Notamacropus eugenii: one gene and its partners. The main gene of each other region encodes a partner of the protein of the gene in region 3 in a complex. Links are inferred from orthologs where the notes say so. Each region holds a gene or a part of one and is shown on either strand. Other genes may lie near its edges. The genes, in order: mediator of RNA polymerase II transcription subunit 23, MED31, MED8 and MED19.

Evidence for each region.
Region 1: MED8 (region 3) and mediator of RNA polymerase II transcription subunit 23 share a complex: the UniProt entries of both Homo sapiens proteins name them as parts of the mediator complex. The link is inferred for Notamacropus eugenii from reciprocal best matches to the Homo sapiens genes MED8 and MED23.
Region 2: MED8 (region 3) and MED31 share a complex: the UniProt entries of both Homo sapiens proteins name them as parts of the mediator complex. The link is inferred for Notamacropus eugenii from reciprocal best matches to the Homo sapiens genes MED8 and MED31.
Region 4: MED8 (region 3) and MED19 share a complex: the UniProt entries of both Homo sapiens proteins name them as parts of the mediator complex. The link is inferred for Notamacropus eugenii from reciprocal best matches to the Homo sapiens genes MED8 and MED19.

Annotation. Positions count from the first base shown.
Region 1 is NC_092873.1:216,607,333-216,615,157, reverse strand, and holds the start of mediator of RNA polymerase II transcription subunit 23, read left to right. Parts: upstream 1-4,808; 5' UTR 4,809-5,015; coding exon 5,016-5,063; intron 5,064-5,076; exon of another isoform or gene 5,077-5,249; intron 5,250-6,531; coding exon 6,532-6,563; intron 6,564-6,772; coding exon 6,773-6,860; intron 6,861-7,825. UniProt on the Homo sapiens protein: Required for transcriptional activation subsequent to the assembly of the pre-initiation complex. Component of the Mediator complex, a coactivator involved in the regulated transcription of nearly all RNA polymerase II-dependent genes.
Region 2 is NC_092877.1:388,544,701-388,552,698, forward strand, and holds the start of MED31 (mediator of RNA polymerase II transcription subunit 31), read left to right. Parts: upstream 1-4,980; 5' UTR 4,981-6,921; coding exon 6,922-6,952; intron 6,953-7,104; coding exon 7,105-7,182; intron 7,183-7,719; coding exon 7,720-7,816; intron 7,817-7,998. UniProt on the Homo sapiens protein: Component of the Mediator complex, a coactivator involved in the regulated transcription of nearly all RNA polymerase II-dependent genes.
Region 3 is NC_092873.1:504,905,077-504,912,095, forward strand, and holds the start of MED8 (mediator of RNA polymerase II transcription subunit 8), read right to left. Parts: upstream 2,932-7,019; 5' UTR 2,925-2,931; coding exon 2,919-2,924; intron 2,552-2,918; coding exon of another isoform or gene 2,529-2,551; exon of another isoform or gene 2,271-2,528; intron 2,183-2,270; exon of another isoform or gene 1,170-2,182; coding exon 1,051-1,169; intron 301-1,050; coding exon 156-300; intron 1-155. Other genes in the region: KICSTOR complex protein SZT2, read left to right, coding at 2,529-2,551, 2,932-3,106, 3,229-3,354, 3,451-3,630, 3,767-3,937. UniProt on the Homo sapiens protein: Component of the Mediator complex, a coactivator involved in the regulated transcription of nearly all RNA polymerase II-dependent genes.
Region 4 is NC_092873.1:3,310,379-3,317,588, reverse strand, and holds the start of MED19 (mediator of RNA polymerase II transcription subunit 19), read left to right. Parts: upstream 1-4,194; 5' UTR 4,195-4,274; coding exon 4,275-4,608; intron 4,609-7,210. Other genes in the region: TMX2 (thioredoxin-related transmembrane protein 2), read right to left, coding at 3,693-3,881. UniProt on the Homo sapiens protein: Component of the Mediator complex, a coactivator involved in the regulated transcription of nearly all RNA polymerase II-dependent genes.

The DNA of each region.
Region 1 (7,825 bases), about 290 Mb from region 3:
CAATAATTCTAATTTATATCTCTTAGAATCTCCATTTTTCTATTTAGATATTTTAGATATAGTAAAGGAAATATTCACGATATGTTCTTTGAATAATTTACATAATTCCATTTTGAGTTCAGGACCAGGGGGAGGGGGGATCAGATTTGTGATTTCACTGGTATAGTGAGCTCCTTTCTGGATCCAGATAATCCCTGTATCAATGCATATCTGCACCTGTTCCTCAGTTTATGGTGTTAGAGAGTTATCTGGGCACACTGGAAAGTTAACAGGGTTTGTCTAGGGTCTCCCAAAGTTGGGATTTGAACCCAGGTCTTTCTTATATCATTGTGACAACGGCAGAAAGTAATGATAACATTATAATATACACATGTAGTGTTTCCTATTAATAGGCAGAGAGAGAGAGAGAGAGATACATAGCATATATCACCAGAAAAGGCATGGGACACGATCAGACCCAGGAAAACAAACTAGGTCTCAGAAACATATGGAAATGATGGGGTACTTGGGTGCATGTGCTTGGATCCCAATTCTAAAATCACATTTCTCTTTAAAAATCACATTTCTCCCTAGCCTCAAAACACAAAATATTCTCAAAATCTCAGGCAGGTTCTCCTCGGCCCAAGGACACAGCCTGCCCCAGCAACAACCATTATCTCCCTTCCTGATACAGCAGCCACCTGCACCTATGGAACTTATTAGTCTGAATCAGCTGTGTACTGGCTGATCTGGCTGTGTACTGCATCATAATGACATTTACTACTCACTGACCAATCATATGTATCCTAGACTTAGACATATGCATACTCCCTTACATTTATCTTGTCTAACAAGACATTGATGAGAGCAGCCTGATTTTCCCTGGTCAGCCCTGACCATTGGTTGACTTAGTGATGTTTCAGGCCTAAAACCACACCTCCATGTAACACCCTCTTGGGCTATTTCCTGATGAACTCTGGATAAAATACCTGTGCCGTAGATATGAAAAGTGCATGTTCCTTTAAGAACTAACCACACCCTGATCACCTACTTAGCATATTTGGCACACACTATACTATAGAATATCCTATATAAACTTTACCTCTATCCCTCTAAAGTGGCAGTTTCCCTAAGAACTCTTGTGCTAAAAAGCATAATAAATCTTTATCCTGACCTCAACAATGCTTGAGCCCATGAATTCATTCCATGTGACCTGCCCCTGGTACTCAGGTCTCTGTGGGGGTCTCAAACTCCTCCCTTCCAGTCCTCATCAGAAATATCTTTCCTCCAGATCTCTTTCTATTCAAACAGGAAAGGATACATTCTGAAAAGATTGTAATGTAAAAATTATAGAAACATACTAACCTTTTTAATTAAGATGAAAATATTAATATAAAGTATTGCTACAGTTTAAAGTTCTTTCCAGATTTACCTTAAGGGAGGAAACTTGATCAGGACTTAATTGAATTTCTTGGCAAAAAGAATGCCCTTCACTAAAATCTTTTATCTTAGTATTAATCTCTTTCTTTTAGGAAAGTATGTATTGTCTGGGCTGTTGTGTAGTTTTGTAAAACATGTCCATAATAGTCACGTTGTGAAAAAAAACACAAAAAAAACCCTCAAGAAAAATAAAGTAAGAAAATATACTTCAATCTGTATTGGGACACCATCAGTTCTTTGCCTGGGGATGGATAGCATTTTTCATTATAAGTCCTTCAGAGTTGTCTTGGATTATGGTATTGCAGAGAATAGCTAAGACATTCACATTCTTAGAATTTTGCTTTTACTTTGTACACAGTACATTTCACTTTGCATCAGCCCATGCAAGCCTTTCCAGGTTTTTCTGAAAGCATCCTGCTCATCATTTCTTATATGTAGTACAAATAGTATTCCATTGTAATCACATACCACAACTTGTTACACCATTCTCCAGTTGATGGGCATCTTCTCAATTTTTAATTCTTTGTCCTCAGAAAAGAGTTGCTATAAATATTTTTGTACATAGAGATTCTTTTCCTCTTTGTTTTTTGTCTCTTTTTGGGACACTGGCTTAGTAATGGTATTGCTAGGTCGAAGGGTACACATGGTTTTATAGCCCTTTGGGCATAATTCCAAATTTCTCTACAGAATGGTTAAATCAATTCACAACTCCATCAACAATGCATTAATGTTTCATTTTTCCCACATCCATTCCCAACATTTGTCATTTTCCTTTTCTGTTCCGTTAGGCAATCTAATAGGTAACAAGTAGTACCTCAGAAGTGTTTCTATTTGCCTTTCTCCAATCAATAGTGATTTAGAGTACTTTCTCATATGGCTATAGATAGCTTTGATTACTTCATCTGAAAACTGATCATATATTTTGATCATTTATCAATTAGGGAATGGCTCTTATTTCTTATTGAAGTAGACATTATCCCCCCCCCCCCCCGCCCCGGAGCCCCTGGGTTGAGAAATGTCTGTTGAGTTTCTAGGTAGGGTTGGGCCCCCCTTTGCCTAGTAGCCACTTTCTGTTGTGCCCCCCTTGCCTAGCAGTTGCCCCCTCTTTGCCTAGCAGCCACCCCCCCTTTGCCTAGGAACCCACTCTCTGTCGTGCCCCTTTGCCTAGGCAGCCACTCTCTGTTGTGCCCCTTTGCCTAGGAGCCCACTCTCTGTTGTGCCCCTTTGCCTAGCAGCAACTTGGGCCCCTGTCAAAACTGTTCTGTGAGATATGTTTGCTGTTAAAACCACAAAGCTGTACTGAGAAGTGCCGAAATGCTTAAAAGGCACACACACACCTTTTTCGCGGCTGCCTCTTCTGGGTTTTTCCATGAGACAGCCGCTGGCTAATAAAGACGCTCTCAAATTCTCAGGTGACTCTTGCCTGTGCTTTTTCTCTCTCTGTCCATTTCACTTATAAATCTGAATCAGTTCTCTTTTGTCTGAAAAATGAGGCCTGTTATCAGAGAAACTTGCCTCAAAAATTTTTTTCAGTTACTATGGCTAATGATATTTTCCTCCATCCTACTGAAAGCCCTTGCCTTCACCTCACCCTTGTTTATTCCATTATCTGCTTTCACTCTGTTCCTCCTCAAGTGTTTTGCTTCTGACTACCCCCTCCCCCAATTTGCTCTCCTTTCTATCACCCTTCGTTTTTGAAGAAGACCATGACATCAGAGAAATGATGACATGACTTGCACTTGACTTTGCTTTGAGTGAGGGAGGGCTGCGAAAGGTCACCAGCCTCACTTTCTCCTCCTGAGCCATATGGGTCCCATGACCCATCAAGATGACTGGAGGTGACCCAGGATGCAGTGTTAGGCTGGCCTTTTCAGGTACTCACTTCGAGGGAGGTAAAGACCATTGAGTGAAAAGGCCTCTTTAAGAAGTAGTCAGGGAATGGCCCTTTTAATGAACAACAACAACAAAGAAATAACTAAATCAATCCGGAAGGGAAACAGAAAATGTTACCATTGATAATCACTCTAAACTAGCCATTAAGTGGAGCTTGGGCAGGGTGTTGTCTGGAAATTGTATTAAGGATGGTAATCAAGTTTAGAAGGAGTAATAATTCAGATGTAGTTAAGATCATTGCCCTCCTTGGTCCCTTCCCCCTTCCCCTCTTCTAAAGAGAGTTGTGACTCCTGGCCAGCTCCTGCCCAGAACATCCCCTTCCTCTTTCAGAAGTGGCACTTCTAAATGTGTCCCCCTGCACACAGCAGGCACGAAATAAATGCTTCTTGTTTTCTGAAGCGCCCTCTTCCCTCTCTACTCCCAATGGCCTCCTTATGGAACATCGAAGCCCAAAGCTCCCTGCATTACAGAAGTAGGAGAAGGAGGGAACGGGAACGTCACATATAAAGCCAGGCATGGTGGATGTGTCGGCTCCTTTCTTTTGGACTGTTCTTCCTCATTCTTTCCCATCTACCTGCTTATCTAGCCCTCTTCTCCTGAGTGCCAGTCCCTCACCACAAACTGTCTATTCGATATTTCTCCCACTGGCATTTCAAACTCAACATATCCAAAACAGAAATCAATTTTTGCACTATGTAGCTCCTTGGATGATGGGGAGAAGGTTCTATTTTCAAAAGGAACTGTGTTTTTATATTATGTGTATACACATATATGCACTCCTATATATACATACATACACAACCATCGCTGATAAAATATATTTATATATTTTAATGATGTAAGTACTATGAAATATAACTGTTAGATAATACCTAACAGGTACACGGAAGCGCTTTACAACTATGACCTCATTTGATACTCACAGCTACTTTGGGAGACAGGTGTTGTTACCGTTATCCTCATTTTACAGATGGGGAAACTGAGGCAGGCAGCGATTAAGCGCCGTGCTCAGGGTCACAGAGCTGGCGTCTGGGGCCAGTTTTGAACTCAAGTGTCCCGGACTCCAAGCCCTCTGCTGTATCCGCTGCCTCGGGCCAATAAAAAAAAAAGGATAAAATTCATTTTCCAAATTACCATCACACAAAGGTGCAGAACAGAAACGTCCTCCACCAGCCAACCAGCGCTTATTAAGCCCCCAAGTGCTGGACACTGAGCTGAGCGCGGGGGACATAAAAAAAAAAAATACGCAGCTTCCCACTGCCTAAAACAGAATAAAATTATTTAGGAAGAGATTGAGGTGGGGGGAGCGCAAGGATGCTAAATAGAGGAGCCCGGGCAGGGTGGATGAAGGAGCAGACAAACAGGTTAGGGAGGAGACTCCCGGGGGCGGGGAGGGGCGGAGCCTCCGCGTGATTGGCTGGGAGCGCTCACCACGCCCCTCCCTCGCCTCCCGGAAGTGCCCGGTCGTTGGCTCGCGTCTCCGCCCGGCGTTTCCGGGAGGGGAGCGAGCCGGGCGTCCCCGCGGCGCCGCGCTGGGTACCCAGCTGTGCGGGGCTTCGCCCAGCGTTCGGCGCCGAGGGAGGGGTCCGGGCGCGCGCGGCGCCCACGCTCGAGCCGGGCCTCCCGGGGCTGCGGCGGAGCTCGAGCCGCGATCGGAAGAGGAGGGCTGTGGGCCCGGCCCCGCCGCCCCGGCCGCCGCCGCCATGGTGCAAATGGAGACGCAGCTGCAGAGCATTTTCGAGGAGGTCGTGGTGAGTGCGGAGCCGGTGCGGACCGCAGGAAGGGGAGGAGGGAGAGAGATGCCTTCCCCTGCTGTGGCTCCCCCAGCATGGATCAAACGCCTGCTGTGTGCCGGGCCAAGCGCGGGGTAGCCAAAGAGAAGGAAAACCAGGCCCTCGCCCTCCCCAGGGGGGAAGACGGTGTGCACGCAACCTCGCGTAAGCAGTCTGCCGTGATCCATGAGAAGGGATTCTCTCGGGGAAAGCGCTAGCGACCAGGAAAGGATTCTTGCAGAACGTAGAACTGGAGTGGAGGCCAAAGGGAGAAGGGAGAGCATGCCAGGCAGGGGGCACGGCCCGGGCAAAGGCATGCAGGCTGGAGATGGAATGTCCTGTTCGAGCACCAGCCAGAAGCCCGGCGTCTCTGAGTTAACAGACTATGCAGAGGGGAGCGGAGAATAAGATTGCAAAGGGAAAGGGGCAGAAGTGGGAAGGCCTTTACACGTCAAGCATAAGATTTTATATTTGATCCGAGACCTCCAGGTGGGAGTAAGATTTGTCCAGTCAGACTACATAGCTGCTACTCATTTTAATGTTTTCAGGCCAATTTCTTGGGAGCCACTGGAGTTTATTAGGTAGGGAGATGAGCTCGGCCCTCCAGATAGGAAGTTTGAGGAGGACAGAGTTCGTGGGGGATTTCACCCCTTTTATTGGAAAGTGCAGGTAATCCAGAATCCCACAGCTCATCGTGTTGAGCGCACGGTTTACCAAAACCCTTAGATCTGTTTTTCAGAAGAATGGGGCAGACTGATGACAAGTAAAGAGGCCCTAGGTGAGGGGGAGGATCCAGCAGCTGCCATGGTCATGTGCAGTTGGGGGCCCTCCAGGCCAAGGTTTCTGAGCCTTCCTGGGAGCTTCTGTGTCTTGGCTTAGAACACTTAGAGATGAGGTCTTTCCTTCATGGGAGAAATGGTGAGGACGCAACTCCTTTGCCTTGTACGTTCCCTCAGGCTCAGGTGGCCTCCCTCCTCTCTGCCACTGCAGCTCCTAGTCCTTCAGAACTCCTCAAGCGCCCCCTTCTACACTGGACCTTCCCATTTCTTTCAACTATTACTGTTAATCCTCTAAAATTACCTTGTATTTGTGCAAGGCCTCTTATTTTATGGATAAGAAACAGGCCCAGCATGATTGTGACTTGCCTCAGGTCACCAGGCTGTTTCCTCTGATAGAATGTAAGCAAATTGAGAATGGGGACTGTTTCATTTATTTCTGTATATGCACAGAATACAGTAGGTGCTTCATGAATGTTTCTTGCTTGGTTGATTAGTCACTCCAAGCTAGTTTTGGTCCTTTAGTCTGAAAAAGGTTCACTTTGACTAAACCTAATGTGCTTTATTGAAGGTCACACAACAAATCAGAGTATGAGAGCCCAGACAAATTGGGAATATATTTAAGTACTCTTAAAATTTAATGGCGTTTTTTTTGTTTGTTTATTTTACAGAAAACAGAAATCATAGAAGAGGCATTTCCAGGGTAAGTATAATGCAAGATAAAAATCCGTTTATGTGGTATCTATTTCTTTCCCTGTCCTTCTCTAGTTTCTTGTCATTCTGGATATCCTTTAATAAGCACAATATTTGGTAGATAATGAGGGATCTGTGCAGGGTTGCTTTTTAATCACGATGGTGACCATTTGTATGTAGCAGTTGGTAGCAGATGATAACAGTATTTTCTTTCTTTAGCATGTTTATGGATACACCAGAAGATGAAAAAACAAAACTGATCAGCTGCTTGGGAGCTTTCAGACAGTTTTGGGGTGGCCTTTCTCAGGTGAGCACTAAAGTTTAAATAATATCTCATATGTAATGTTGTGATTTTAAAATATTTTTACATATGCTATCATATTTGATCCTTATAAGCCCCATGAGGTCGATAAGACAAGGATTTTCTTTTCAAACTTCATCTGGCAGATGAGAAAACTGTGTATATAGTTACTTGCTTTAGATGGGGAAACCAGGACTAAAATTTGTATACATTTCATTATATTGCTTTAATATAAGCAGCTCTCCATGTTGTTTTTTAAAGATTCAAGGAATGGGGATTCTGTAGTCTCTTCCTGTGTTTAACTGTATTTTGTTGGTGGTGGGTAGGAGTGAGATTCATTATGTCAAACTAAATAAGAATATTTTAATGTCTTTAAAATCTGTATAGTAGCTTTCCTGTAAAACTTTGGCAGACCAAAAGGTCAATTTACAACATAGGAGCCAAGCATTCTCTTTGTTCCCTTGTATTCAGAAACAGCAGGAATCAGCAGTGCCCTATGTAAGTTTTTTTTGTGCCAGAGGATAGAAAAGATAGTAAAGATACTTTCAGTTGGGAAATAAGGGAAGACAGGAACACTGATGGAAGTAGAGGCAGGGCCTTACTCCTTTGGTTTATCTGCAGAATCATATCCATCTTAAAGGTGGGAGACTTGACTTCTAATCCCAGCTTTATCATATATTAGCTTCATGACCTTGGGTGAATCACTTGCCCCCACCCCTTTCTCTGAGCCTCAGTTTCATCATCTGTAAAACCACAGGGTTGGATTAGATAAGGATTTCTTATCCTGGAGTCTGTGAACTTGTTTTTGAAAAAATATTTTAATGTGGTTTTTTTTGTAAGCTTATATATTTTATTTTTAGGCATTTAAAAACATTATTGGGAGGAGGGGGTTCCATAACCTTTACCAGACTGCTAGAGGGTTTTATAACAAAGAAAAGTTAAGACTTTAAGAACTTGAATAGATAATTTCT
Region 2 (7,998 bases), on a different chromosome or scaffold from region 3:
TCTGGCCTAGAGTCCAGGTTTTGCTGCTGGCATGCTGTGTGGATGGGGGAAGTCACCTGCAGCTGCTCTTTGATGCCTCCTTGGCCTCCTTGTCTGAGGCAGGCGTACAGTAGGAAGCCCCAGGTACCCGGTGGTGAAGGCCTGGGTTATGTCCACCACCCCCACCACTAGCTAGAGATCACTGTGTGCTCCATGCTGGCTCACACACTGATTCTTAGATGTTCTCGGGCTTTCCTGAGTGATGCTTGATGTTCACTATTCAAGGCAGACATTCCAGTGCCAGGGTTTGTAGTGCCCAGTACACATTTGGAACTCAGCTGGGCTCATTAAATAAAGGACAGTTAAAAGGGCAGGGGTGTGTGTGTGTGTGTGTGTGTGTGTGTGTGTGTGTGTGTGTGTGCATGTGTGCGTTGGGGGACATGCTAGAGTAACTCGAACTATTGAGAAGCTTTTCTTTCAGTCTCCCATTATTTGGGCCACCCTCCCCCACCCTGCCAAAGGGTCTCCATCCCGATGGGTTCTGCAGGTGTGGAAGGTGGGCCAGGTCCCAGGCTTCAGGAATGGAATCTACCAGGGCCACTCTTCCTCCTGACAAGTGAGGGCCTGTCCAAAACTCTTCTTTCTGGAAGAGTTGGTGGCTGCCTGTAGCTTTGGGCTGAGCCCTAGCATGTCTAACTGGCCTTTGAACAGTTGCAGGCCCTCCAGGGAAGGCCAGACATAGGCACGCTCAGCATACAGACTGCACTCCCACCCAGACCTCAGGGGTGGGACCACATGTGACACAGGAGGATGCTGAGATCTAGGGGGAGAAACAGCCTGACCAAAGCTGGTGGCAGAGCCAGAATTCAAGGTCAGGCTTCCAAAATCTCGGCCTGGTCATTAGGCCAAATCTGTACTCAGACCCACGTTCTGATGAACTCAGTCTTGTGATCAGCAGGACAACATGAGACTTGACAATAAGGACATCTGGCCCTTCCTGACCGCCTCTCCCTGGTCAGCATGCAAGCCCAGGACAGGTTAAGTTAGGTAGACAGAGAATTAGAATTGGAGATAGGACCACCTGAGTTCAGATCTTGCCTCAGACACTAGCTGTCTAGTCTTCCTAGATTACTGACGCTGGGCAAAGCCCTTAACCTGCCTAAATCTCAGTTTCCTTATCAGGAAAAGGGGACAGTAGCCATGTGTGCCTCCCAAGGTTGCTATAAAGATCAAATGAGATGGTATGGTAAAGCATTTTATATGTGCTTCTATGAGACAAGGAAGCAGGAAGGACCAGCTGGGGACTGGGATTCTCTCATGCTTCCTGGGAGCTTTCCAAAAGATGCAGCCTACCTTCCCTTGTCTCTACTGTGTGTCCTCTGCATATCTGAAAATAATTTTACCTCCCCTAAAGGGTGGCCTGAGTCTCAAAGGGTGGCCTGGGTTCTAAAGGAGTGGCCCGGGTTCTAAAGGAGTGGCCCAGGTTCCACAGGGAGGCCCAAGTTCCAAGGATAGCCCCGGTTCTAAAGGAGTGGACTGGGTTCCAAGGATGGCCCAGGTTCTAAGGGGTTGCCCTGTACTGGTGGGTACTCTCTCTCACCCATACTTCTGCTGCTTGGTGGTTCAAAGCTCTCCTTCCTGCTTTCAGGGGCCCAGATCAAGCACCAGGTGGGGCCTCCCTGTGACTCCAAGCCCTCCCCTGCTCTTCTTTCAGTCTAGGGGTGCATTTCCCATTTCCATCCAAGACCTAAGAACTAAGCCCAACCCCAAATCAGCAAACAGTGAAACAATCCCAGGAAAGATCAGGGCCTTTGCCAAGAGAGGAGCTCAGGATCAAAGACAAAGGAGAAAAGCCATCTTTGGAGAGCCCCATCATCAGATGAAAGGCCAGCGCCAGGTCAGGGCCACAGGAAATCCTCAGGGTCTGAGAAGCCCCTCACAGCTAAGGCTTCAGGGGACTTGGAAATGAAGGCCCTGGATCTGAAATCTACCTCTGCTATTTCTCACGAGTGACCTAGGGCAAGTTATTTTCTCTATGTGGACCTCAGTTTTCCCAGAGGACACTTAAGATTCCTCCCAGCTCTCCATCTGTGAACTAAACTGAAGACTGGGGATGCTGAAGCAATGACCAGATGGCTCCTGCCCCCTTGGCCTCTCACCAGCCTTCTCTCATTGCCCAGTGAAACCTCTGCTTGGGCACCTGCTGCCCCCTACTGTCCATTTTTAGCCTTAATGAGGGCAGGCTTCCGACATCCATCCAATTCTGCCAAGGTGCGAAGGTCCAGGCTGCTTCTGCTCAGCTCCGGGGCAGTACCAGGGCCAGTGAGGGGGAAGGTGGACAGGAAGATTAGGGCTCTATTCCTGCCATGAGAGCTGTTCAGTGAAGGGTGGAGAAGAGCAGGGTCCCTAGAGAGGCAATGATTCCTGAGGATGCTGAGCTTTGGAGGGGCTGCTGTGGGACATCCCTCAGCTGCACACAGGACAGTCTGGCTGGCTTGGAGAGCTTGTGAAGGTAGCTAAGTGAGTCTGGAAAGGCAGACTGGAAACACACTGTGGAGGCCTCTGCCCACCACTCTGGGGCATTCTCACTTGATCTGAGAGTCAGTGGGGAGCCATAGTTTTTGAATGAGGGAGTGAGGTGGTCAAAGATTTGGGCCTTTCCCATCCACCATCATCCCTTGGCACACAAGAAGCAGCTTTGTCCAGGGATGATCCAGTTCTCCCCATGCTGGCCAAAGAACCTTGGTCCATGGCTTTAGGAGGCGAGCTTCTCTTTCCCTTCCTCCTCTTTGACCCCCAGTCTCCTGAAGTGGATTTGGACTCTCCTTGCCACTGTGAATCTTGATGACCTGGGGCATTGCCTTGTCTTCCGGGATGTAGATGACCCTGAAACCTCTGTATGCAAAACTATTTGCTCCAGGAAGAACTTAATGCACAGGGCACTGAGTAGGCCATAGGAAAGTCCAGCTGCCTTCCATGCTGCTGGGATCCTCTGCCTTGGCCATCTTGGGGGCTCTCTAAGGAGCACAGTGACTTGGGAGCTCCAGGGCCTGGTCTGTTAGGGATCCTTCACCTCCCACTGCCTGTCATCATTTTTAACCCAAACAGAAGCTGTTCCACAAAGGCAATCCAGTTTGTTCCCTAGTATACTAAGGAATCATGACTCACATCTGGGCCTCCTGATGGCTAGCTTCGAAGCCTATTTCCATGTGCTGAACTAGACTTGCGTATTGCCCAGACCCCCCATTCCATGCTTTCTGAAGAGCTCCTGTCTCTAAAGAACTGTGCAGTGCATCCTCAGAACAGCCCTGCAGGGTGAGGAGGGTCTATTACCTAATGCATGTTTTTCTGTTACCATTTTAGCCAGAAGAAGTGACAAGCCCAGGTGACAGGGTCAGTGAGGGTTAGAGCCTGGGCTTTAACTGGAATCTCATGGGGGGTGAGGGGAGGGGGCTTCCCACGATGTCTTGTTCTTTCTTCTACTCTGATGCCCTCCCCCAGTCCCATCTCCCAGTTCGGTTGAGAGGGATGAAGGAGAAGTGACCCACCCTAGCAAAACAGGTCAGATTTACCCTAGCCAGAAGGAATGTCTCCCTAGCACAGACTTTGGAAGGAACACGTCATGTTTCCTCCTCTCTACTAGAGTATAAGCTCCATGAGTACAGAGACCTGGCCAGCTTTGTTTTATATCATCCCCAGGCCCTCACACAAGCTGTGAGCACACAGCAGGCACTCCAGAAGTATTTGTTGGGTGCATGGATAAGTAAGTAAGGAAGAGAATGGAAGAAGGAAGGAAGGAGGGGAGGAAGAAAGGAAGGAAGGGAGAGAGGGAGGAAAGGAACGTCATGTGGGAGGGGCAGAGAGAACAGTTGGGCTGGGTGGCTGAGTGCAAGAGGGAGAGGAACAAATGTGAAGTGAGTCTGAAAAGGCAGGTTGGGGCCAGCTGTGAAGAGCTTTAAAGGCTAAATGGGCAGTGGTGTGCAGATAGATGGTTAACAAGCAGTTCTTGAGGGGCAAATGAGACACTTTACAGTTTAATTTGTGTAATTAACATTTTCTCCACCACTTTCTTAAGTCTAGACAATCAGCACAACAATCCCTCCAACTGTGATGTGTGGGGTTCACTGTCTCCCAAGGTGTAAATGATCACACTGAGCATGGAGCTGTGGGCTCCCCCACTTGCTGGGCAGCTCTAGGTGACTTCAGCAAAGCCCTGTTAGCAGGGATTTTATATTTCCTTCTAGAAGCTGTATAGAATTGTTGGGATTATTGAGCAGGAAATCACATGACTGGATCTGTGTTTAAGGATGTTACTTTGACAGCGCATTCTAGGGCTGACTGGAATGGGGAGAGACTTATCCATACCATGGATTTGCTTGAGTTCCTGGTGTGAAAAATAACTCATTCAGGCTCCAGAGAGATGAAGATAAAAGAAGAGTTTACAAATGCACTGCAGCGTCCTGCTGGATTGACACACCCTCCAGAAACAAAAGGAAGCCTTAAAAACCCATGCCCCACCACAAAGTCCCTCTCCTGTCTCCCTAGAGGCTGGGTAATGCAGGGCGTACAGGTTTCTGATCCTCCCTCACATGTTCTCCCTCTCCTGTACACACATCGTGTAACCACTGAGATGAAGCCTTAGCCCTCCCAAAGGAGGAGAATGGGCATTCCAAGCAAGACTTTACTCCGTTGACTTCTAACCTCAAAGCAAGATAAAACCCAGCTGGAAGCATGCTTTGCTGCGTGAGACACGAGGAAGGAGTTATGTCTCCCACTCTGCTGGTTGTTATTCTAAATTTATGGACACACACTTCTCTATTACGTGTCTCAATTTTCCTTCTGCTGCTGGAAGATACTCTAGTGCTAGTCTATGCTGTTAGTGTCTTCTACAGCCAATTTACTTTCCTGCATTTGCTGCAAAGTCAAAAGACTTCCTGGTACGCATGCATCCCCTGGATTAAAAAAGTCACATATTACATAATTTTGGTGGAAACAAAAGGTTGTTTTTATCATTCCTCCCAGTCCTTCTCCAGCTTATTTTACAGATGAGGAAACAGAGGCAAACAAGGTGAAGTGACTTGCCCAGATACAACTAAGAGCCTGAGACCAGATTCTAAACTAGGTCTTTCTGACAGCAGGCCAGGCACTCTAATCACTGTGTGCCACCTAGCTGACAATTATGAGGGAAGTGGCCCTATTTCACAACAGAGGAATGGGGAGAGACTTGTGTCAGGCAGACCACCAGCAGGCTTCTTCAATAGTCCAAATATGAGATGATGAGGGGACTGCACAAGGTGGTGGCACAGGTAGAGAGATGTTACGAAGGTGACAGGCCTTGGTAACTAATTAGATCTAGGGGTAAAAGGGAGGAGTTCAGAACATCCCCTAGGTTGCAAATCTGGGTGACTAGGAGGATGGCAGTGCCTTCCACAGTAGTGATTGTGTGGTTTGTCCTTCATTCTTGAAGAGGACCATAACATCAGGGAGATGATGACATGATTTGCAATTGACTTTGATTTGAGTGAGGGAGGGCTATGCAAGGCAACTTTCTTTTCCAGAGCCATCTGGGTTCAGGGGCCAGATATCCATTAGGATCTGGAGGAGGATGCAGTAGGAGATCTCAGCCCTTTTAAGTCTTCTCAAGGGATGATCTCTTTAATGATAATAATAATAAAATCAAACTGGAAGGGGAAGACTTTCAGGGTTGCTGGCCAAAAGAGAAACAGTTAATATTTGCATTCACTCTAAGCCAGGAGGGCCAGTAAAACAACCATTAAGGCAGGGATCTACTGTGGTCAGTCCTTCAGATCCAGGGTAAATTGGGTTTAAGGCTTTGTCTTTGAAAAAGAAATCTAGTCAGTAAACCCCAAGTTTAAGAAGGAAGCTTTCCACCATCAAAATTTACATTCCTTCGGACAGAACATCAGAGAAGGGAAAGTAGAGGAGAAGGGATCGGAGGAAATGGAAAAAGAAAGGGGAAAGGAGAGGGAGAGACTTAGGAGGAGAGGAGCCTTCCACATTAATAGAAAAATGAAGAATGGAGGCCTGTAATGTTTGAGACATGCTGAGCTGAAGAAGTCTACAAGACATCTTATGGGAGATGGCCAGTAGACAGTTGGAGGTCTCCCTCCCAAAAAAATCGGCAACGCAGGAGACCCAGAGAGGCCAGGCAGTAGAGTGAGCTAGGTCTCGGGGCTGCACAGCAGGATCAGTCAGAGATTAGATGTTTGGTTTTTCTCCAGGGCATTTTTCCGGAGTTACAGATAGTAAAGTAACAGTGTAGCCCTCACGCCCGACCCCAGGGATTGGATTTTGCGCCCTACCCAGGTAGTTACTTTGTATACATCCTCCCCGTACAGCTCCTAGTATAGAACGCGTTAATTTCAAGGTTGCTCCTTCCGCCCCCTGCCCATGGCTGCTTGTGGTTACTTTGTATCCATCCGACAGTAATCTGTCCGACTTAATTTCAGGATCGGGCTCCCCATCTACAGTTACTTTGAATCCATTCTACCGGGGAGAAGTCTCCAGACCCAGACAAAGTCAGTTTCAGGGGCTCCCCTCGCGCTCCGCCCCCGTAACAATAGCTGCTACATTGTAATTCAGCTCCTCAGCAGGTTGACCTGTGCCTCGGGTGCTCGGCGGCGGGCACTTACAAAGCACCCAGCCCCATGCGGCCCGGAGCCCAGGCGGGGTGGAATTCTGTAGGGCGCAGTGATCCCGAGGTAGGGTGGCCCCGCTCCGCGCCCCCTTTCCCAGGCAGCTGCGCGCCTCTCCCTGAAGCACCGCCCGCAGCCCCTCCTCCACCGCCCATCTCCCGCCCCCTCTCCCACAAGACGCCGCGGCACGCAAGCGCGTGGGGTGGGACGCGGCGCAGGGTCTTAGGGCCCGCGGTGTCGCTGGCGCGGCTGCGGGAGCGGGGCGGGGCGGGGCGGGAGCTCGCTTATGGCCGCCGCCGTCGTCATGGAGACCTCGGGTGAGTGCAGGCTCCTGGCCGGTTCCGGGCTGGGGGGGAAGTGAGCTCCTGGCTGCGGCCCATTTCGCGGTGGGAGGACTGCGAGGCTCGGCTGGGGCGGGAGCGGAATCTCACGCGGCTCCGGACGCGCTGAGCTCTCCTCTCTTCCGCAGACGACGCCGGGAACCGGCTGCGCTTCCAACTGGAGCTGGAGTTCGTACAGTGCTTGGCGAACCCCAACTACCTGAACTGTGAGTCCCCGAGGCTGCTGAGCTGGGTGCTAGAGGCGGCTGGGGAGGCAAGGGCAGGGTCCCGACTGTGTGTGGTTTTTATTGACAAGAGCAGGGCTCAGGGCACTAGGGCCAGCAGGTAGGGGAAACTGAATCTGCTGCCAGGGAATGATTTTGAGACTTTGGGGTAATCCTGGGGCTGAGCTGCCCCAAGGCATTGAACATCATCCTTAGTCATACTCAGCACTGAGAAATGCCAAAATGCCCCAAGCTGTTCCCTTTTTCTACCCGAGCTTCGACTCTAGTAATTGAGCTTTGTTCAGCCTTTCTCTCCAATCACCTGTTCCTGCTTACCTCCTTATCTCTTTTCATCCATCCATTTCAGTGTCCCTCCCTCCACCCCTTTCACTTTCTTAAAAGACCTAGCTGAGTAGTTGGTCTGGGATGGTGATCTGGCCTATCGGAGAGGGGCTGGCATGCCCAGCCCTGGGAGGGTTTCTCTTGTCTGCATCCTGTGGGTGAGCAGGTGGGCCCCAGAGTGACTTCTTTGTCTTCCAGTCCTTGCCCAAAGAGGGTACTTCAAGGACAAAGCTTTCGTCAATTATCTGAAATACCTGCTTTACTGGAAAGAGCCAGACTACGCCAAGTACCTGAAGTAAGTCTCAACAGCGAATTCTGAATTTGGAAGCTGATGTTTTGCCTTAGAAGAAATAATACCTGACTGGCTTCCCAGGTGCCTTCTGGGGGTTGGCAGAGTGCCAGCTGTACTTCATCCTTAACTCAGGCAGCTGTTGGGAGTCAGGAAAAGTCAAGTTGAAATGTGGCCTCAGACACTTC
Region 3 (7,019 bases):
CCAGGCTATCTTTTAACAAGCGCCCCAAAGCAAATGCCACCAGCTAAGTGGAGAAAGGGGCAAAGAGCCCCAGTGGCTGGGGTGAGGGGTGGTCTGGATAGAGACTAGAGGGAATGTGTTGCTCTCGCTGTGCTCTCCCAGGCCCTGCTTCTCACCGTGAGCTCCTCATCTCGGTCCGGGGACAGCACCAGAGGAATGATAACCTGGTTCCGGAGCAATGGGGTCTTCTCATGTTTGAGGACCTTGTTGAGAGTGTTCAGCTGTCCAGAGAGCAGAGCAAAGCTGTCCAGGACTGAAGGCCTAGTTGGAGTGGAAGAGATGGGAATAGGGCCTGGCTAAAAATGTGGGCTCTGACCCATGGGACCCCCTCGGGGAAGTAACAGCTGCCTGAGAGCCCTTCAGAGAAAGACAGAGATGCAGCCTTAGGATTCAGAGATGTGATGACCCTTTACACCCAGGCCCACCTAGAACAGATGCACAATCTGGGACTGAGACTGACATGGCTGCAGGAAAAGAAAAGGCTCTTAAAGCTAGCAAGGCCTGGATAGCCTATACTAAGCCTCCTCAGGAGAGAAGTTCTATAGGTCAAGACCCTGATTAGACCATGCTGTCTCCAAAAGACCTCTTTTAACGTATGAACTAGCCTCTACTTGCCAACGGAAACATAGTGGGCCTTCCCATGGACTGGCCTTCCTATGGCACCCAATGTATGGAAAACTGGAAGAGGAGAATGCAGACAGCAAAGTAAAATGACGCATCTTTCCTGCTGCCTCAGTGATGCCTTTGCCCTTCACTCATACCAGTGGACTGCCAGCATCTGGGGACAGAGGGGAGTCTGTGCTGACTGGGTTCCCCAGCTCTTTGTCTAAGGAGCTTCATCTTCTCTGGACACAAGTGCCTTAACCCTTCTCCAGCCCTGACTTGCACGAGGGGCTCAAGTCCTCCGGGGGGGCCCAGAAGCTGGGAAATTAAACTGTGACTGAGGAGGCTCAGGAGCAGCATGCCTGCCTCCTGCTGAGCTCTAAGGCCGTTCCGCCCACCTGCCCTTACCAGGTAAGCCGGTCATACTCGTTCTCCAACTTGCAAATAAAACTTCCCAAGGAGCTCTTCAGATCTGCCACTTGATTCAGCAGTGCGTCCACTGATGCCTCCAGCTGCTTCTCTTCCCTCTGCATGGACAGAGACCAGCCAGTCAGCCTAAGGTGGTCAGGGCCCAGTGTGCCAGACACAGATCTCGACTTAGAGTCCATGGGGCACCTGGTGTCTGATGAGAAGACTGAGAAGCCCCAGGGAGGGGTGAGCAGGAGGGGCTAGCTGGCAGGGACACAAGTCTCACCCTCACTGCACCAGGCTGCCTTTTCCTTCTGAGTCCTATTAGGGTCCTAATGGGCAAATCCCAGGACAGAGCCCAGAGCCCCAGGCCTGGTGAAGACTTGATGCAGAAAAGCCAGGAGGGGAGGGAAGGGTGTCTGCCCCTTCCCCAGGGTCTGCGTGAGTGCTGCTGACTGCCCAAGACATGCTGCCTCTATTGCACTGGTACCATGTGGCACAAGAGGATCCCCAGAGGGCCCCTGGGCACGAAGCGTGCTCCAGGCAGGAACAAGGCTATGGTGAGAGACTGTGTGGGCACTCCATCCTGAATCTCTGGTGACCACGGGGAGCACCTGCAGAGACAGGGCAGAGGTGGGCCATCCCATTCAGGGCAGGATGGAGGCGGTCACCCAGAGGCGGGTTAGGGGCCACCCTGGGGATTGGCATGCCACACGCTGCATCCTGCCCCCCACCTGCATTTCTCCCGCCCCTAGCTTATCAGCAGCACCTCATTTCTTCTAGGGCCTACCACACCCTGGCATCCCTGGGGTGTCTGCACCAGGCCCTGACCTTGGGGGCCCCTCCTGAGGCAGCCTGTCAGGCTAGCCTGGATGCTCCTGCTCAGTGACACAGGACCAGGACAGCCTGCCCCCACCCTGGTCCCTGGGTCCCTGTGGGATCCTGACCACTCCTTGATACCTGGAGGGCAGAGAATGAAAGGCTCCATCCCTCCCCCCGCCAGAGTTTGCTTTCTCTAAGTCTGCCCTTGGTAGGTCAGCCCTCGGCATGTGGGAGCTCCCCTCCCGGCCACACCCGAGCCCTGCCCCTCAGGACATCTCCAGCCCTCGGCACACGGATCCTCCTAAGCCAGGTGTGAGCCCTGACGACCAATCAGACCATTCCCTGGGCACGGTCCCTGACCGGGGCCCTCAAGGAGCTTGGGGGGGGGGGGAGGAGGGGGAGGGGTGACCCTTTTGCTCCTCTGTCCTCCCACGACAGCCTACACTGGCTGATGCCACGGTCCGGCCTCCCTTCACACCCTCCGGAGAGAGTGGCCCAGGGCACAGACGCTCCCCGGGCTGGATCTTAAAGCCCCTCCTAGCTAGGCTCCCACCTACTTCTCCAGGCTCATTGTGGATGATTTTACCCAGAGACACGTGGGTCCGGCTGGACCTCTTGCCTCTGAGCCTTTGTCTCGGCAGACCCTCCTTCCTCGAATGCCTTCCCGCTGCAGGTTTCAGTAAGCTCTTCTCCCTTCCACGTCCCCTCCCCCACCCCACGCCCCCTCCCCCTCCCCCCGCCCGGGGCAAAGGCGGGGTAGGCTCGCTGCATATATGGCAGACCCTGGCTCACTCAAGGGTGCCTTCCTAGGCCTCAGTGTCTGTACGTAAATTGAGGGCAGGGTAGAGAACGTCGCGGCCCCATCGGGCTACGGGTCCGCCCACACCCCAAGACACTCCCCGGTGTACGCGCTCCTACGCCCCGGGGGGCCCCCAGCTTCGCTGCAGCGCCGCGAGCTCTTGGGCCTGGCCTTCAAGGTCTCCTCCGCGGGATCTCGGACCCGAGGCCGCCTCGCTTCCCCCCGCTACCGTCAGTCCAGCGCTTACCTGCATCTTGTAGGCTGCAGGAACTTCCCATTCCGGGGTACCGCCCCCTAGCTTCCGCTTCCGGAAGCACCGTCGTCGAACCCCGCGACTTCTCCGGGAGCTTCCGACGCGACGGCCGAGCGCTTCCGGGTCGCGGCGGGTCAGAGGTCACCCGGGACCTGACAGCCATGGCGGCGGAGTCGGCCGAGGTAAGGCTGGGGCGGGCGGTCCCGGGAGCTCAGGGCGTGGGTGCGGGGCCAGGCCTGGGGGCAGAGCGGCCCCCCGCAACCCCCGGGGCGCCGGGTCTCTGAGTGCCGAGCTCCCCGCGCAGGTGGACGAGGCCGCGCACGTCTTCCTGCTGATGCGCAAGGGCCACCGCATCTCCCGCAACGTGCGCCTGGCCTGGTTCCTGAACCACCTCCGCCAGCCGGTGCGGGCCGCCTCGGCCGAGGAGCTGGTGAGTGGGGGCGGGGCGGGGCGGGCGGGGGGCGAACGGGGGGCGGGCAGCCCCCTGGCCCCCGCGGCCCCTGACCGCCCCGCCCCCTCCCCGCAGCTGCGCTCCGAGCCGGAGCTGGCCGTGCTCAGCGTCCTCCCGCCGGGCTGGCAGCCGGACGAGCCGCTGGGGCCCCCGGGCCGGGCGCTTCTGCTGGTGCCGTCCACGCGCGTCACCTTCCTGGCGTGGCGCTACCGCTTTGTCATCGAGCTGGACCTGAGCCCGTCCACGGGCATCGTGGTGAGGCCCCCCCCAGCCCTCGGCTGCGGGGGGTGGGGGGTCCTGCCCCTCCCCCCGGCCGCTGGGGGGCTCCCCTTCCCCCACCCCACTCCCCCTGCCCAGCACCCCCATTCTCTGACCTGCCCCCTCCCCCCAGGATGACTCCACCGGAGAGATTCTCTTTGACGAGGTATTCAGGGCCCTCTCCCGATGCGTGGAGGGGCTGCTGCGGCCCTTCCGAGTCCCGGGCTCCTCCATCACCTTCCAGCCAGAGATCTACGTGACCATCCAGGCCTACTCCTCCATCATCGGCCTGCAGTCCCACCAGGTAGGGAGGCTCCTGCGGCGGCGCGGCCGCGTCTGGATCGAGTCCTCCTTCCCCGCCCTGGGCGCGGGGGTCCTAGCGCCTCCCCTCCCAGCCCTGGGCGCGGGGGTCCTAGCGCCTCCCCTCCCCGCCTCTGGGCGCGGGGGTCTTAGTGCTTCTCCACGTTTTGTGCCCTTCCCCCCACGCCCAGGTGGCTGACAAGCTTGGAGTCAGGGCTCGGACTCTTAGGCAGGTGACGCTCACAACTCACTTCTGGGAAGAACGTGGTTAGCGACCACACTGACTGCACAGGGTGGTGGGGAGGATCAAATGTCTTTAAATACAGCATTCTAAATTCTGTTGTGACATCTTGCTTTCCGCCTAGCCTTGCATAGTTATGCCCCAGTGGGTATAGCTGGGGCCTGTACTCCAGATACTCCCCTGCCCACCCCACCCCCTTTACCTACACTTGTGCTATCCTTGCTGCTCTTACTATGTGGTGGGACCCCATACCCTGACTCATCCAGAATCAGGGGATCTGAGGCATCTGATTCAACTAGATTGGAACAAGATTTTCCTCAGCCTTCTCAGACAAGTTACCATCCAGTGAGGGGGTGAGCCCACCCTACTAAGCACTTATTACACACCTGCTGTATGCAGGGGGATCCAGCCAAGGGAGGCGGGAAAAGCTCCCTAAGAATTGACCTAAGTCTTGAAGACAGGCAGGCTTCCAAAAGGCTCAGGTCAGAAAGGAGAGCATTCTTAGGATGAGTCACAGCCTGCGCAAAGGCATGGAGGTGGACCATAGAAGATGAATGCTTGTGTATGGGTAACAGCAAGTAAGCCAAATGGGAAGTGATGTGAAATCAGTCTTGCAGCTGGTTTTGAAGGGCTTGCAGTGCCATACAGGTGTTTCACTTTTGTCATGAGGATCGTGGGGTCCCAGGTACAATAAGGGGAGGAACACAAAGGTGGCAGGGAAGGTTAAGAGTGATTGTACTGAGGAGGATCCCTTTGGCTTCAGTGACAGAGATGGATGGAAGAAGGAAAGACCAGGCATGGGGCCCAACAGGAGGCTGCTCTGTGTACTCTTTCCATGAAGGGTCAGTGAAGGGGACAGCTTTATGAGGGGAGATGAGGGAATGGACGTGGACAGTGTGAAGGGTGGATTGACATGGCTTGGTGACTGGCTGACTCCGAGGAGTCAGTGAAAATGGCTGAGGGCGTGAACCTGATCAACTGGGGAGAGGTTGGTGACCTGGGCAGGCTGGGCAAGTCAGAAAGTTGGGCCCGCAGCACAGATCTTGCTCAAGAGACCTGCAGGAGGTCCAGGCAGGGCTCTGGGACTGGCGTTCCAAAGAGATGTAGAAACGGTAGTGAAATCCAGGGGGCTGATGAGGCAAAGAGAAGAGGATACCTGGGGTCAAACCGTGCTTTCCAGGCGAAGGGGAGCCTGAGAAGATGTGGTCAAACAGGAGAGCCTTGAGAACAGGGCCAGGACCTGTGGAGGGAGAGGATGCAGCCAGTGTTTGGTGCAGCCAAGAACTGGGATTTGGCAGATCGACATGGACCTTAGAAAGCCCCCTCAGCTGGAGTATGGACAGAAGCCAAGGCTTAGAAGTTCTTGACTTCAAGCTCAATTCTGTTCCCCGCAAGTTTTGCTTCTTTCTTTGCTCTTGGGAGCCAACCAGTGCCAGTCTACAGCTCTCCTATGCCCACCTCCCTCTCTCTGCCCCCACTACTTCAGGCTCCTTCCCAAATGGAGGAGAACCCATCTTACATCCTCTCCGTGCCTTGCTCCTTGTCACGGCCTTCCTGAAATATGGTACCAGTCCTCAGTGATGGCTGTGGCCACCTCTCCTCGTGGGTGCTTCTGTACCAAACTGTTGACAGCCCACCAGGACCTCCAGATCTTTCTTAGCCATGCCATTCTGCCACTTTTTCCTATGCTTTGCTTCTGCAAATGTTTTTGAAAAGCTATGCGAGATTCTGGCCATGCCAGTGCTGCCTGCTTCCCATCGTTTGAGGGATTGCCGTCCTGTCTGTGGATGAGGGAGCAGTTCTCCCAAATTGGCCTTTACAGACAGACCCAGGAACCCATGTTGGGACAAACTCAGCACAAGAACCGCCCCGAGGTGCACCGCTGTCCTAGGAGGGCTGCAAGAAGATGTTGGATGGCCACTGGTTGGGAGCCATCCTCAGTCCCCATCCTCCAGTCTGCTGCAGCATGTGGAGATCTTGTGGGGAAGCACAGCCTTTCACACTTCCCTCTTGTTGTTCACGTTGTGTTTTTTCTCTTTTTCCTGGAATTTTGTTCTTGAGATTCTCATTCCTCATAGACTGGTTTTCTTTGTTGAATTTCATCTTTGAAAGGGGTTCACCTAAAATCTAGGGGTGTGTCTGACACATTTTTCTGGCACAAATCCGAATCACCATTCACCACAACCTTGTACCTTCTGTGTGAGGCTTGAGAACGTTTCCTTTTTCTGTCCCAGTTGGTCTGTGGTCCCCTCCTGTGGCCAGGTTGCTGCTCTCTGCCCGTGGTCTTTGCTGAAATAGTGTTCTCTGGCTCTGAGTTCTCCTCATGTGACTTTGCTTTCTTGAGATCTAGTGCTCAGTGGTGTGCTTACCTCCCTGCCTCTGCCCCTCCCTCAGCCAGGCTGCAGTCCTGGGCTTCATCTCAGGCCGCCTTTCCTCCTAGGTCACAGCTGCTACTCAGCAAAGGGCCTTCAGAGGCCGTGCCTACCAGGATTGTGGCTGGGTCATTGGTGTCTTCATTATGGCTGTTTTTATTGGTGGAAAGACAGAGACAGCCGTTTCCTCTCTCCACTTTCTTTTTTACTTTCAAGCCCTTTTGCCTAAATTTGTGAAAACCAGTCTTTGCAAGGTTCTCTCCACCTGGCAGGGACTGTGCTTGTGAATGAAATCCCATTGTCTTCTTCTCAGTCCCCATCATCTTAATCAGCTGCTCGCTTCCCCAACCTCTGATGTTCCTTCGAATCATTTGCCTCTGTGCAGCATTTATGAAGGACGTTTTGGGTGACAGGCACCGGGGCGACCAAGACTCCATCCCAGGCCTTGTCCTCTAGGAGCCTGCAGCATGAAG
Region 4 (7,210 bases), about 500 Mb from region 3:
CCATGCCTATGAAACCTGTATCAATGCCATCCATCTACTCACCAAACATAACTACTTCTGTATGGAGGACTTAAACCTAGCAAAAAGCCACCAACTTGGAAGCAGCTCTCTGAATGAGGTGAACATCTGTGATCACTAAACTGCCAACAGTCCATTCAGGAAGAATTTGGAAAAAGATACTTTCATACTCAAATACAATCATATTTCATTACGGGTAACCAAATTACTCTAGGCTTAGGAATAAGAATTTTCCAGGACAAGTTTCTTGTCTCTTTTAGGAATATCACTGTCAACAGCAGAGCAGTCATTCAACCTGCTTCAACCCCAAAGAGGTAAGCAAATGAGCCAAAATCAACATGGACTTCAGCACACATCTGAAATCTGAATTTTCTGTCCCAATTCTCTGTCATCAATGAAAGGCAGAGGGAGCGAACACTGGTGAGTCTCATGCTTGAAGCAGAAGCTAGAGAAGGTGTCCATCTGCTCAGTCATTTATTATGTGCCTACCATGTGCCGGATACAAAGAAAGGCAAAAGACAGTCTGCCCTGGAGGAACTCATGGTTTAATGGTGAACTACAAGTGTTCAAAGTAGGAGAACAAGTCTGAGGTCAGACACAGCAGGACAGCAGGAAAGAAGAGACAGGGAAGAAAGAAGGGGGACAGGGAAGACAGTGTAAAATTGTTCACAAATTCAGAATTTGACTGTGGGTAGGGACAGCCTCACCTGTTAGACATTTTATAAAAAGGGAAGACATTTCACCTCTCCACACTGGTCTGTTGAAAGCCTCAGCTTCAAAGGTGGAAATATGGCTTAGAACAACAGAAACAAACATCTAATAGATGTTTGCTTGTGAGCAAAGCATTGTGGTGGATCCTGGAGGGGTGGAGGAGCTCATAAAGTTTAGCTAACCACCTCAAAGTACTTTGTGGGGCATGGGAAGGAAAATCTGGTGAAGGAAAGGAAACTTTGCTCAGGTGAGGAAGCTAAATCCAGGAATGGTGAAATGACTTGTCCGAGTTCACACAGATATTATGTGCCCAAGTACAAAACAGAATACCGCCTGAATTATGGGGGTGGGGAGGATAAGGGACAGGAAGACAGACTTCTAGGAAGGCTTCCTGGGGGAGGTAGCATCAAAGTTGGATTTTAAACAAGTAGGAATTCAAAGAGCAGAGGGGGAGAGGGAGAACACCCCAGTAATGAGAACAGAGTAACACATGCTGCAGGGAGGGTAGGGAGTAAGAGACAAAGCTCTACAGTTTGGTTGAAGCAAAGTGTACCTGGATGGGAAGTCATAGCAAATATAACAGGAGGGGTGGAGAAACAGCAGGGTAATACCATGAATTTGGAACTTGAAAACGCAATAGGCTTTTTATAGGCAAAAGGTCTAATTTCTAAGTTACAGAGAGAACTATTTGAGTAAAAGCCATTCCTCAAACAACAAATGATCAAAGGATCTGAATAGGCCTCTCAGATGAAGGAATCCATGCTATTAATAGCTGCATGAAAAAATGCTCCAAACCACTAATCATTACGGAAATGCAAATTACAACAACTCAGAGGTTCTACCTCACATTTATCAGATTGGCAAAATTAACCAAAAATGGAAAATAACAAATATTGTAGGCCTGTGGGAAAAAAAAAGGCAAAATGCACTCTTGCGGGAGCTATGGACCGGTCCAGTCATTCTGGAAAGCCATTTGGAACTTATGTCCACAAAGCGATTAAACTGTTCATATATACACTTTGACCTAGCAATACCACTACTATGTCTCAATGGAAGGTAAGAAGAAGAGGACCCGTATGTACAAAAATATTTATAAGCAGTTCTCTTTGCCATAGCAAAGAACTGACAACTGAAGAAGCGCCTGTCAGTTGGGGAATGGCTGAACAAATGATGCTACATGAATGTGACAGAATGCTAGTGTGTGGTAAGAATGATGATGATAACAGTTTCAGAGAAACCTAAGAAGACTTGTATGAACTGATGCAGAAAGAAGTGAGCAGAACCAGAACAATTATGTAATAACAGCAACACTGGAAAGGTAAAGAGCTGCGAAAGACTTAGGAATTCTGATCAAAGCAGTGAGCAAACACAATTCCAGAGATCTCCTGATAAACTGCTACCACATCCTGAAAGAGGAATGAAGAATGAGACCAATTTATTTGGTCATGGTCAATGTGGGAATTTCTTTTGCTTGATTATATGTTTATAACAGCGGTTGTTTTTTTTTTTCGTTCTTTCTCATGGAGGTAGGATTTGGGGCAGGGAACTGGAGTTGAGATATTGACTGAAAAACAAAATTTAATTTAAAGAAAGGCAAAAGGGAAGATATTTTCACCTGGCATAACATAACTCAATCTCTGGGCAAACCTATTATACAATGGCATAAAGGACATACTGGAGGAAGGAAAATAGATGCAGAAAAACTTTCTAGGAAGTTATGACAATATTTCAACAGGATGATAAAGAGGCTAGAACAAGGATGATGGCCATGGGAGCAAAAACAAGAGATGGAGAGGAGGAATGTCATATATTTCCTCTGTGAAACTTGAGTTCTGAGGAGTGCAATAATCATCTTTTTCACCTTGGTAGTCTCATGTGAAGGTTGTGAGGAAAGAGCTTTGTAATTACTACAGAAATGGGAGGGAGGGAGGTATTCTAATTTATTATCATCATATCAAAGATACTCTTACTTGAAGACCTTATTAATCTCCTTTAGGATGGGATGAAGTGCTACATATACAACAGACACTTAATGAAACATGATATACTAGAAAGAACCCTGGACTTAAGAAGTCCAAAAATCCAGGTGTGTGTGCCATCTCCACTACTTATTAACTTTCTGACATTTGTCAAGTTGCTTCCCCTCTATATGCTTCAGTTTCCCCAGCTGTAAATTCAGGTATGGGGTCCGCTGTGACTAAGCTTGGAAAGGCAGCATGGGTTAGTGAAAAGACCAATGGATTTGGAGTCAAAAGACTGAACGGTCGATGAAAAGATCAAATAACTTTTACAGACCAGAACGATGAATGACAACAGTTAAATGACCAACACATCATCCTGGGGACTGGAGAGAGCAAGCTACTCACCTCCTGAAAGATGACGCACTAAACGTGAAGGAAGAGATGGTTTTTTTGACAAAGCTAATACGGGAATTAATTTTACTCGGAAGATTTTTTTAATGAGAAGTGGCAGGAGGGAGAGAAAATTGATTTTTGTCCTTTAAAACTTCACGGTGAGCCAATGGAGAAGCTGGTCTTCTGCTCCAGCAAGCGCCCTCCCCTCCCTGGGCTCCAAGGGCGGCGGTGCTGCTCCGTGCAGGCTCTAAAGGGACACGGAAAGGAAGGCTGCCGCCCTGGGAGGCGGCAAGGGCTTGTTTCCTGCCCGACTCTGTAACCCGGCTTCTCGCCGCCCCCTTCACTTCCAGACTGGCTTTACAGCAGAGGCCGCGGGATCCTGGATCTGGGCCGAGGCATCCGGGCCAATTCTCCCTCAGTCCTAACGCGATGGAAGGCGCTGCCCAAGGTCACGGCGGTGGCACCGGGTGGGCCTGGGCTCTGTGGGGCAATTTTTCCCGCACCTCCCGATTCGGTCGGGCCTGGCTCAAGGCTCCTGCCCCCCCGGGGCTCCGGAGGGTCATTCCCACCCTGCCCTTCGGTGACCCTGGGGCCACCTCCTCCGCTCACCCAGTCAAAGTCGCAGGGGTTGCCGTCCTCGCGCTGCGTGGGGAGACCGAGGCAGACCGGCGGCAGCTTCCTCACGAGCAGGAAAGCCACCGACAGGAGCGCCGACAGTAGGTAGTACGGCTTAGCCAGCCATCGCGAGAGCCGCGGCACCGAGTACAGCAGCGCCAGCAGCGGAGCCAACACCGCCATCTTCCTCCCCCTAAAGCAGCAAGCGCCACCACCGCCGCAGCAGCTCAGCCAAAGTACCTGCCGGACGCCGAACCGGTTCCTCGACCTCCTGCCATCCGGGCTTTCCAATTGGGCCGCCCCTCTGTCTCTCCGGAACCTCAGCCTGAAGCTGAATTATGATTGGATGTAGCTGAAAGAACGGCCTTTCTGAAAGGCTGGCCTCTCAGGGCTTCCCTCTTTGATTGGATGCTGAGAACAGGGTGGGCGGAGAGATAGGCGTTTTCTGGTCACTGAGCTACATTTCCTTTACGTCATCTTAGAGCGACGGAAGTTCTTCGGCCAGTGGAGCCAGACGCATCCAATAAATAGAGGCGCTAGGAAGAGGAGGGCGGTGCTGCACTAGAGGGTGGCCCAATGAGAGGCCGCGGCGGTGCTAGACTCCGAGTGGGCGGAGGCAGAAGCGGCAGCAGAAGTGGCAGCAGCGGCGGCGGCGGCGCCGGCAGAGGCAGAGGCAGAGCGGTCGACGCGATGGAGAACTTCACAGCTCTTTTCGGTGCCCAGACTGAGCCGCCGCCGCCGCCACCGGCCGCACTGGGTTTTGGGCCGGGGAAGCCGCCCCCTCCTCCGCCTCCTCCTCCGGGTGGGGGCCCTGGAACTGTCCCGCCGCCCACCGCGGCCTCAGTTCCTCCTGGTGCTGACAAGGCCGCAGCTGGGTGCGGGCCCTTCTACCTGATGCGGGAGCTCCCAGGTGAGTACGGATGCTCTTGGAAACTAGCCAATCAGCTGCTAGGGAGGGCTTGACGGTTGGGGCTGTGGGCCAATGAGCGGAAGCGACAGATAATGGGGCAAAGAGGGCGGGGATATATAGGTATTTCTGTCAATCAGAGAGCCGAAGGGGCGGGACCGAATGAGCGGGCCAGCCAATGAACGGGCTTGTGGAGTCCAGGCTAATAGAGTCTAGAGGACCCGGGTTCTAAACTCCTGAAATTTTTAGCTAGCGGTGCTACCGCGGCCTAGTAACCATGCAGTAAACGCTTGTTGGGTCTTTAAAGTGCCGTATGAATTGTCTGTTGGTGGCTCGTCACTCAACCTTTGTCGGCCTCAGTTTGCTCATCTGTAAACTGGATTTCATAATAGTAGCACCTCATCTTCCAGGGTTGTTGAGGGGGTAAAATGGGTGAGTCTTCGTAAGGTGCTCCATAAAGCAGCCTGTGACATTCGCTATGGAGACCAGGGTGGCTCCTCCTGGTGAGCTACCCAAGTAAGACAAGTTGTGAAGAGACCGGGGCAAGGCAGGATCTAGCGCCTCAAACCACCTCCCAACACCTCCTAACGTCCTGCCCACTGTGGACTGGCGCATGGGCAGGTAGTCTAATTTATGCGGATCGCCGTCTCAGTGCAGACTTGTCTTCTTTGACTAGCCGACAGGGCCCCGCACTTCCAGCAGTGGGGAGAGGGCTTGTGGTGTTTTTCAGGAATGTCGTAGGGAATGACCTGGCTGGAGGTTCCCATGAATAGGAGCATTCATCACAGTGCGGGGCCACTAAACGAAGCCTGCAGACCTACCCTCACTTGGCAAGTTAAAGAGGAGTCCTTTCACAGACCTTGGGAGCATTTGGAACCATCGCAAGATCAGTATAGGGGTGGGGGAGACAGTGACAGCTAAGCTCAATATTGAAGTTATTCATAATCTTGAAGAAAAAGAAGAGTGGATGGCCCTGGGCGGCAGGAGGAGAGAGGAAAACTGGAAGCAGAATGGCAGATTTTAAGGTCATAAGTCTAGGAAGTAAAGGGAGGTTAGATATAAGATCTAAGAGATATATGCAAAGTATCAACAGAACTTTATGATTGTTTGGATGTAGGAGCAAGAGAAAAAGAAGAGTCAAAGATGATGTTTCAAACCTGAGTGACACAGAAGGGTGGTCTTTGGTGCAGTAGAAAGTGTTGAATTCACTACAAAAATCAAAATTTGAAATCCTGACTTTGCCACTGATTACCTTTGGAACCATGGACAAGTCACTTAACCTGTTTGGATTATTAACCTCTCGGTTCTCTGTAAAATGAGGGAGTTGAACTAGATGGTTTTTAAGGTCCCTGCTCACTCTTGCTCTAAAACTACTCTTCTGTGACCATTAACAGAAATTGATAAGTAAGAAGATGGTCGTATAGAATAATATTTCAGGGGAGGGTGGTGAGTTTCGTTTTAGAAACGTTGAGTTTGTCAAGATATAGAAATGATTAACAGATAAATAAAATATCAAAGGCTATTCCCCAGTAGATAAGTGGTAAAAAGAATATGAACAATTTTCAAAAGAATTGTAAACTATTAACAACCATATGAAACTATGCTCCAGGTCACTAAATAAGAGAAATACTAAACAAAACAACCCTGAGGAACCTCATACCCTGCAAATTGGCAAAGATGACAAAAGGTGGGAAGTCAGTGTTAGAGCAGTTGTGGGTAGATATCACTAGTATATTGGAGCTGCAAATTAGTACAACCAAGCCATGCGTATAAAGTGACTAAAGCGTCCATATGCTATAAGAAATTAAGTATAAGATGAACACAGAAGGATGGAAAGATCTACATGAACTAGCGAAGACTGAAGTAAGCAGAACCAAGGAAACAGCGTATGCACACAATCACTACAAGGTAAACAGAATCAAAAGTGAATGGTGCGAAATTATGAAGAACAAGCCTGGCGTGAAAGAAGATATGAGTCCCACCCCATCCACAAATGTACATTGTACATATTTTCAGACCTTTTCAGTTTATTGATCAATTGTGCTGATTTTTTTCCTCTTATTCTTAAATTTTTTTCTTTTATTTAAAAAATGTTATTTATTATCTGGGGGGGAGGAAGAATATTGGGGGAAATTATGGTAACATTAAAAAGGGAAGGAAATGGAATAAGCATTTCTGTAGTGTCTACTATGTGGTAGGTACTGTTCTAAGTGCTTTTTTTTTTAATATCTCATTTGATCTTCACAATAACCCTAAGGTAGATGCTGTTATTATCCTCATATTACAGTTGAGGTTATTGAGGGTCACACAGCTAGTAAGTGTCTGATTCTGACTTTGAACTATTGACTCCAGGCCCAGCCCTCTATCCATTGTACCACCAGCTGTGATCAATCAAAACTTAATTTTTATTTTAAAAGATTAGGAAAAAAAGAAATATTGAACTTGAGTTGACTGGAGAAACCAAGTAGAATTGTCTCACAGCAGGTTGGAGGTATAGAATTGGAGTTTGAGGAAGAAGTGAGGATTGGAGATAGAGGTGTGTCCATCCTCCTCAGAGGCAATATTGGAAGCAAGAGTATAGCCGGATGAGATTGCCAAGGAAAAA